Nothobranchius furzeri: one gene and its partner. The protein of the gene in region 2 interacts with the protein of the main gene of each other region in a pairwise test. Links are inferred from orthologs where the notes say so. Each region holds a gene or a part of one and is shown on either strand. Other genes may lie near its edges.

Region 1 (3,815 bases), on a different chromosome or scaffold from region 2:
ACCATGCGGTTTGCTGCAGAACAGAAGGAACACGTCCGATGTTGGACCATTCATGCAGATGGGAGGGTGCATGCTCACCAGGCGTAGCCGATCTTCATCATGGGGTTCCGGGCCTTTCTCCTGGGAATGTACTCTATCTCCTCCTGCTCCTCGGCTCTGCCGCCAGCGGAGCCCCCTGTCCGGTCACTCTGCTGCGGCTCGGTCCTGGAGCTCCACAGCCCGGCGGAGGACTGAACATGTAGCCGGGAATGACGGCACACTGTTGGGGTCTGAAAGCGATGCGTGAAGAGAAACCGACAGGTGGAGAAACCTGAGGGACGAATTTAAGCCTTAAATCACCTTTTTCTTCCATCGCTTCCCCGCCGGTTAGTTTACCGGAAACGTGTTTGAGTAAACGTCCAACAACGAAACCCTAAATATTTATAGGTTAATTTAGCGTTCGACACGTGGAATTAAAAGCTAACTTGGTGGCTTCATCACGTGAGTTCACGTTTATCGTGTTTTTTACCTGTTAGGGTTGCTCGGACTGCTGTCAAGCGGGGCGCCGCCATGTTTGTCGAATAACACAAAAACAGACATGCGCAATACCTCTTCATCCAGTCAGCCTGCTGCCCCCGGTGGACAGTGCTGGTATTACGTTATTTACCCAAAAACAGGATCAAAACCACGTGTTTACATTAACATTTTATTGAGTAAACAAGCGTACACTTCCTGTCACCATATTACAAAACCAGCAACAAGTGGAAACCATCTTATTAGAAAGTCATCACACAGTCCAGAGGTTCTACTGACTCATAACAGTCAGTGGAGCAAACTACACAAAGCAGCGTATTTACATCTCATCTTTTAGGAGCCTCCATAGTTCATCTTTGTACAGCAGGGGCCACCTCCAAAAGATGGTCTAACAGCATCTCCAAAGTCATGCGATCTTCAGCAGAACACCATGAACATCCAGAGCAGATGGTTTAATCCTCCAGGATGTAGTTGGGATTAACGACCAGAACAACGTCTTCCTCTGTGCTCTCAGCCTCAGAGCCCTTTAGTCCAGCCTGAGACAGCTCAATGAGGATGTGATCCTACAAAGACACAAACGTTGGTGTGAGCGGATTAAACTTTAATCGAACATTGATAGAAATATCCACCGAGCGCAGACTCACGTAGTGGACCAGCCTCTGGATGACCTTCTCTATCAGAGCCTTCTTATTGATCAGCTCTTCCTCAGAGTCGATATCTGACTCGATCTCCTTCAGATACCAGTTTATCACTGCATTTTTCCTCAGCTCCTCCTCTTGATCGGCTGAAAAGGAGAAAAGTCCAGTTTAGCTGCAGCTTTAGACAAAAGGGAGTAGGAGGACCGCCTCTTACCGTCCTCTGTTCTGCGCAGATGCAGCACCAACAGGTTGGAGATGCGTTTGTACTCGGCAAAAGACAAACGCAGAGAAGGTTTGGGTTGGCTGTCATGCTCCGCGTGACCATTCACGCCACTGGCATGACCATTAATCCCATTAACATGATCGTCGACACCATTTGGTACATTGTTGACTGCAGATGGAAAACTGTTCAGTGAAGATCTACAGATCATCAGCAGCAGGGTGTGCATACAGATAACTCCTCATACCTTCCTCCTGCTGCTCCTCGTCCTCAAATTCATCCTCCTGATCCAGGTTGATGTCGGGCGTCTCCACTCGGATGATGGACTTGTTTAGGAGACGGAAAGCTTCCTTCACGTGTTTGGGCTGCACCTGGAGACGAGGAAACCATCATTGGTGCTTTTCATATTCATCTTTTTTCCAGATCATGTCCACACCAGTCATCTGCTGTGTCTTGACGCCGCTTCCTGTCATTTGACACTTTCTGTAAACATGAGCCAAACTGCTCTGTCCTGGTCCAGTCAGCTCCTCCGTCTACGTCGTACCTCATCACAGCAGTGCATGCGTGCCATGGCCTCAGACAGGCGGATCATGCTCTCCAGCTGCCGCACCGTAATCCTCCAGGCGGATTTGGACACGCTCCCAGAGCCGTCGCGCTGACGCAGACGCTTGTACTGCTCGACAATGAACTCCTCAGACTCACCGGAGATCTGCCATGGCATCATACACAGACACACACACACACACAGACACACACACACACACACACACACACACACACACACACACACACTGCAGCTTTTACACTCAGTCAGTCCAAAACAGTCACCTGATAAATGTAAGGCCATTTAAAATCAACACCAAGTGGTTTTTAACATTTTAAGCTATTGCTTTTAAACTGGTTTTAGTGGTTCTTAAGCATCTTCATATTGGACAGCACCCAGTAGCCCTCTGCTGACCAGAAACTCTACCAGGGGCAGCGTTAGGCCCGGCTACTTGGGCTGAAGCCCCGGATGTTTCATGAAAAGCCCCGGATCTAAATTGCAGAAGTAACATGCAGTACCAAAGTCCAACAGAGAGGGAGCAGCTGGCAGTAGTTTGTATACAGCCTGCCTGAGCCTCCACCACTGAAGAAGAAGCCCTTCAGCAACCGGCTTCTTCTACACTCTCTGCCTGAAACGCATGAGTGAAGATGGACATAAGGACGTTTTTTAGACCAAAAGTACGGCGACAGAACCCCAGCTTTGATGAGACTGGTGTTGACTCAGGTTTGTGAGTCTTATTAGAAAGTACTTGTTGTGCTGCTGGTTTGCCTAAAGTTAGCTTATCAGGTAAAGTTGTTGGAGAAAGAACGGGAATATTTACTATCATCTCACACTAAACACTAACAGGAACAATACTCTGCCCTGAAAATGCTTAATATGTAGCTTCAGATTAAAAATTATGTGGTACAAGACATATATGATGTTGACTAATGCGTGTCATGTGTGTGTGTGCGCGTGTGTGTGTGTGTGCGTGTTAAGCCCCGGATCTTCTTCGGTCCTTAATCCGCCCCTGAACTCTACTAAACCGTTTTGTGGTTCAGGTAGGAACACTAGAGGGAGGTTTCTACCTGGTTTATGGCAAAAGCGGTTTACTGTACTGGTAGCCAATATAAAAGCTAGCAGTTAGTTGTTTTTTTTTTGTTGGCATCATGGCGTAGCCTGGAAATAAAAGTGAGAGGATTGTTTTTAGAGGCGGAGCAAAGCGCTAAAACCAGAGTGAAAATGGGTGTGGCCTACATGACATCACAGACTGATGGTGGACTTGAAAGGAATATATTTTTTGACCATATGTGTGGACTTTTTCCCCCGTGACTCGCGTAGTATCGGCTTGCGTTAGCTGCAGTGGGGTTTAGGAGGGTGCTGCTTGAAACCTAGATACTTTTATTGTAGCAGCTTTATTCTGGAGTACTTCCTGTTTTTATTTAAAACACACACCTTGGGTTTAAACTGCCGAGCAAAAAGCAGGTATCTGCGGATTTCATCTAAGGAGTACAGTCTGTCCACGGACTCCTCCACCCGGGAGTGCAGGTCCACGATTCTCCTGGCGATGGCGTAATCTGTGACCTGAGATACACACGGGTAGATAAATGATCACCTCCATCAGATCCTTGGTTACTACAGCATGGAAAAATCACACACACACACATTTTCCCTCCGTGTTGTGTGTTTCCGTACCTCATTACACTCATCCACCAGGATGAAGAAGAGGTCGAAGCGGCTCATGATGGGGGCGGTCAGGTTGACGTTCTGCTTCAGGCTCTTGCTGCGGTCGTAGCGCCCGTTGACGGGGTTGGCAGCAGCCAGGATGGACGTGCGTGCGTTCAGAGTAGCCTGAACAAACAGAGGAGATTATTTTCCAGAGGTAAAAACTTGAACAGGTGAGGTGTTCCGGGCTCAGCTG
Region 2 (4,593 bases):
GCATGGGTTTCCTCCGGGTACTCCGGTTTCCCCCACAGATCACAACATGCCCTATAGGTTATAAATTGTAAGTCGCTTTGGATAAAAGCGTCTGCTAAATGAATAAACATAAACAAAATCTCCTCCACCAGTTTTTCACTGACAAAAACATTTCTTTAAGATTTTTCTCTCCATTAAAAAAGCCCATGCATTTTCCTGATGGTCTATATTTATCACACTGTGGTCTTTTCTATGGAGCGACCCTAATTCAGGGTCATCTGTACAGCCCGCTCTGTAAAACAGAACTTTGCCAGACATCTGATCACCCACTTACACTGCTGTTGCTCTGAGGCGTGGCTTTGTTGACCAGAACTGCAAACGTCACCCAGTCGCTATCCTCCAGCTTCTCCCTTTTTAAGCACTCTGGCACCTGCGAAAGGCGAATCAGGCGGCGGTCAGCCATCTTGCGGTCCATCTCACTCGAGGAAACACGTGGCCTTCTGAAAACCAACAAGAAACCCACAGATGTTGTATGAATCACTAACAGAACAAAGGTTCCTCTTACGTTAGTGCTCTGACCTGATCCGTAGGCCTGAGTACTTCTCAATATTTAAATCTTTGGGTAGAGGAAGAGGAGCAGCAGGTTTAGAAGGTCCTGCTGATGCAGTTGGTGCATGTGTGCTGTGGGAAGAAGGAGGAGAGAGGAGACGCTCCAGGGCCTGGCTGCTGCTTTCTAATGCCTGGAAGGAGCTGCCAAGCTTTACCTCCACCAGTGGTTTTCTGTCCTCTAAAAACATTGAAGAAAAAGCTTTTGTAGATGAAACCTGCAGCATTGACTGACAGATCAGCTGGTGAGACCTGAATAATCTGAAGGTGAATGGCTAAACGATGGAAGGGTAGAAGTACCAGGTGAGGATGCTTTGAGTTTGTGAGCCACTCGAGGTTTTCGTTTAAACAAATCTCCGTTGTTGAGCTGAGATAAAAAATCTGTGGATTCTTGGAGATTTGAGCTTCCTGCTCTGACTGGAGTGGATGAAGATGTTGATGCTGGTAAAAAAAATATGGTGAAACAGAACCAGAAAAATAAGGATTTTGGTGAATTTAGGAATTTATGATTAAAAAAAAAAGCTTAACTTGAAAAATATGCATGATTGTTGAGCAGCAAAATGTTTACCTGACTGCATCAGTGTTGGAATTGCTTTGGCTCTGACCCGTCTGGGTTCTGGTTGCTGGGTCAGGGATGGCTTTAGGACCTCTGATTTAGGACTTGCTGCTGTAGTGGTTTTAGCGGCTGGAACTTTGTGGCTTGCCTCCAGTTGCTGCTGAAGTTTCTGCATCTGCTTCTGCATTTTCCTCAACTCCTCTGAACGAGATGAAACGATACAGAAACAAAACCACAAAAACTTAGAAAAATTCCACTGTGGATGAACCAAATGCAGATTTAAGTAGTAGCAACTTCAGATCAAACCTTGTAAATCCTCTTTGGACTGGTTCGGGTTCTCATTGGCACCTCCTTTTCCTTTTATGTTTTTCTCCTCCTTTTCAATGTCTTCAACATCTCCAAACAGCTCCAACACTACATCCTCTTTGGCCACCGCTTCTTCTTCACTACCCTCCTTGTATTCTTCCTCCTCATCACCGTCCGCACCAAACAGGCAATCCCAGTCGTCCACCTGTTCCTGGCCATGTTGAGCTTCACCAACATCATCGCCCTCATCCAATAGGGCCGTCAGAATGTCAAGATCATCCTCACCTGAGTAGGAAAACTTATAAAGTGACCATTTGCTCTGAAACCCAACAGTCCTGTGCTTTAAATTCACTACTTACAGTCCATTTCAGTGCTGATTTAAGACGAGCCAAGCAAATAACCCTGAAAGATAATTTTTACTGTATTTTAATGAAATGAAGGGACGAATATAAACAACACAACTAATCATTCTCAGTATTTTGAACAAAAAAAAAGATATTTTTACCAAAAGTGTGTTTAAAAGATTTAACAAGAATTTATTACAAAATCTTTGCAAAGGTGAGAGCAGAGAAATGATGACAGATATCTCTAAAGCTTTCTTCTGTCTGATACAAACAAACACCACAAATTGCAGTTTGAGCTCTTCTCCTGTTCTAAACTAATATTTAGAAGACAAAATGTGTCATTGTTTTTACACCTTCTGCTGTTAGCTGGACTTCAGAGACTTCATTGGTCTGCAGCACCACTGGCACAATTAATAACCCACTTTTACAGGGGTTATTGTAATATTCACTCAACTATTCTGTCGCTTTCATTTGAGAACGTAATTTGATTTAACTCATAAATTTTCGTTTTGTGTGCTGTCATTATTATTATCTTATTATTAACTCCCTAAACCACCGTAAAATCAGAACTTATGCCGGTCTGTGGTTTTAGGCAGACTAGATGGGATGAAACTGAGAAATGAAGATTCACGTCAGTCATTAAACTGGTTTGAAAAACTTTATTTGTGGTGTTTGTTTTTACTCACTTCCTCGAGGTCTTTATTTGAGTGCATTCTTAACCCGGTGAAGGGCTGAACAGAGAAAGACTGGATGCTACTAGTTAAATATGACGTGCTGTCATTGTGTTTAAAATGTCAATTTCTTATGCGAGAAATAAAACCGATAAACATAACCAAAGTAACTCGCCTTACAGACAGATAAAATGACGACTTACCCCTACAGAAGCTCAGCTTTCTGCCTTCTAGCTAGTCCGCAGCTAATATTAAAGGGCTTGCGTAACTTTCTATATAAGTCTTATATTTTGCTAATGAACATTTTATTCAAACCACCGAGTTTTATTTAATACGACAACTAGTTATGCTGTAAAGTGTCCTTTTACACTAAAAGACTAATCCAAAGTGGCGCTAAACGAAGGACCATGTTGTGTCTAAGTGGTCATAGGTGCCCAAATATTTGCCTGGTTAAAAAAACTTAAGTCAAACGCAATAAATCATTGAAGATTTGGAAAACCTTCAGAAATTTGTTTTTACCCGTTCGTAAACTTAACGTTTGTTTCATTTAATATAGTAAAAAATCGATAAATTACTTTTACTGGGATAAGAAAACGTAAGGACTGATCAGGTTTTTTCACGTCGTTAGGTGCTTCATTTGTTTTACTGCGCAGCTGCACCATCAAGTGGACAATAGATGTAAAACAGACATTGTGGGCAACAGACAACTGTTGAGCGAAGCTTTAAATTGAATAAATAAAAGAATGATGAACGGCATATCTCGTCAGAGTACCATATCAAAGAAATATATCATATTTATAACAGCTTGTCTTCAATATTTTTTAAATGAAGAACTTACTTTTATTCCCAAGTAGCTCATTATTTGTCAAGAGTTGTGTTTGGAAGTCTCGGCATAAATTTCTGTCAACACTAAGCCGAAGAGAAGGTGGTCTTTAGCTCAGTGATGGCTTCTAATCTTCACACGAAGATCTCCTTGATAATTTAGCACCAGAATATAAACAGTAAAGAAAAGTTATAAACCGTGTTGTTGGGTTTGTCTGAATGAGAGTACTAGCTGATACCAAAATATGAAACAAGGGGACCTACAGAAAAACACTGGAGATCAAGCTCCAGCAAGAAAAATAAATTATGTAGTTGGGGATGAAGAACATCACTGGCTTTAAGCAGAGAACGGGAGACAGCTGGAGGTCTAGACAAAGTCAATGAACATGTTGTTCAAACAATTCAGTTCAGCATCCGCCCAACCTGTCCCCAGCCCACCTTCTGCTGACCCACAGCTTCTCTCTCACACCTCATTCATGTATTCCTTGTCTGAATCATGGATCCTGCAGCTGCAAATTCATCCTTGTCATAAATTACATCAGTAGATGCTGTTGCTCCCCTAACCTCGCCCCTCCCACCTGTCTGGCTCCAGTAGTCATATGAAGATGCCACAGGAGAGATAAAACCTAGCTCCAGGTCCAGATGTCATCCCCAGAGTCCTTCAGGCCTGTGCAGAGCAGCTATGTGGAATTCTGCAGCCTCTCTTCAGCCTTAGCCTGACCTAGGAGAAATGATGTGGATGACAACCACCTTACTTGTCCTTTGCATCACATTGCAAAAGTAGTCAAGAGACTGCTATTGGCCCGCCCCAAATGCAGGTTAGAACTTCTACACATGTAGACCTATGAAACAAGCATTAGTCCAGGTCCTTTGGTGTCATCTGGGTCATCAGCCATATCACAGTGGAGTGCATTTTAGTATTTTTACTAGAAAATACATGTATGCAAGAATGGCTTAGGTTTCAAGGCTCCTTTAGTCGTGGTTTGTTCTCGGTCAGCATTACGTGGATCACAAAAAGTCATCAAAGAGCTGAAGTTTCAACTCAGTGGTCAAAACCATCTCCTGTCTTTCAACAAAGGTAACCTCTGATTATAGTCATCCACTCCCCTCTAGTACAGTTGGTTTGTGACGCAGATGAATCAGAAAAACATCCTGTCACACCTTCTTAGACTTTATTGGCCTAATTGTAACAGTAAAATACATAAATGAAAACTAAAAACTAGGACATGATGTGGATAAAAGTCAGGTTTAGGTTTTTATTACCATGTGATGGTCAGGTGGATCTGTAATCTAAAACAAAGCAGCAGTA

The links.
Region 1: the proteins of mcm10 (region 2) and mcm6 interact in binary tests that used the Homo sapiens proteins (3 or more experiments, as listed by UniProt). The two-hybrid records come from large-scale screens. The link is inferred for Nothobranchius furzeri from reciprocal best matches to the Homo sapiens genes MCM10 and MCM6.

Annotation. Positions count from the first base shown.
Region 1 is NC_091751.1:64,049,527-64,053,341, reverse strand, and holds the end of mcm6 (DNA replication licensing factor MCM6), read right to left. Parts: intron 3,746-3,815; coding exon 3,590-3,745; intron 3,479-3,589; coding exon 3,350-3,478; intron 2,081-3,349; coding exon 1,916-2,080; intron 1,743-1,915; coding exon 1,619-1,742; intron 1,543-1,618; coding exon 1,366-1,542; intron 1,298-1,365; coding exon 1,158-1,297; intron 1,077-1,157; coding exon 966-1,076; 3' UTR 672-965; downstream 1-671. Other genes in the region: uncharacterized protein si:ch73-71c20.5, read right to left, coding at 79-310, 509-596. UniProt on the Homo sapiens protein: Acts as a component of the MCM2-7 complex (MCM complex) which is the replicative helicase essential for 'once per cell cycle' DNA replication initiation and elongation in eukaryotic cells.
Region 2 is NC_091741.1:61,269,093-61,273,685, reverse strand, and holds the start of mcm10 (protein MCM10 homolog), read right to left. Parts: upstream 2,806-4,593; 5' UTR 2,666-2,805; intron 1,850-2,665; 5' UTR 1,814-1,849; coding exon 1,807-1,813; intron 1,733-1,806; coding exon 1,448-1,732; intron 1,343-1,447; coding exon 1,154-1,342; intron 1,027-1,153; coding exon 886-1,026; intron 767-885; coding exon 559-766; intron 480-558; coding exon 314-479; intron 1-313. UniProt on the Homo sapiens protein: Acts as a replication initiation factor that brings together the MCM2-7 helicase and the DNA polymerase alpha/primase complex in order to initiate DNA replication. Additionally, plays a role in preventing DNA damage during replication.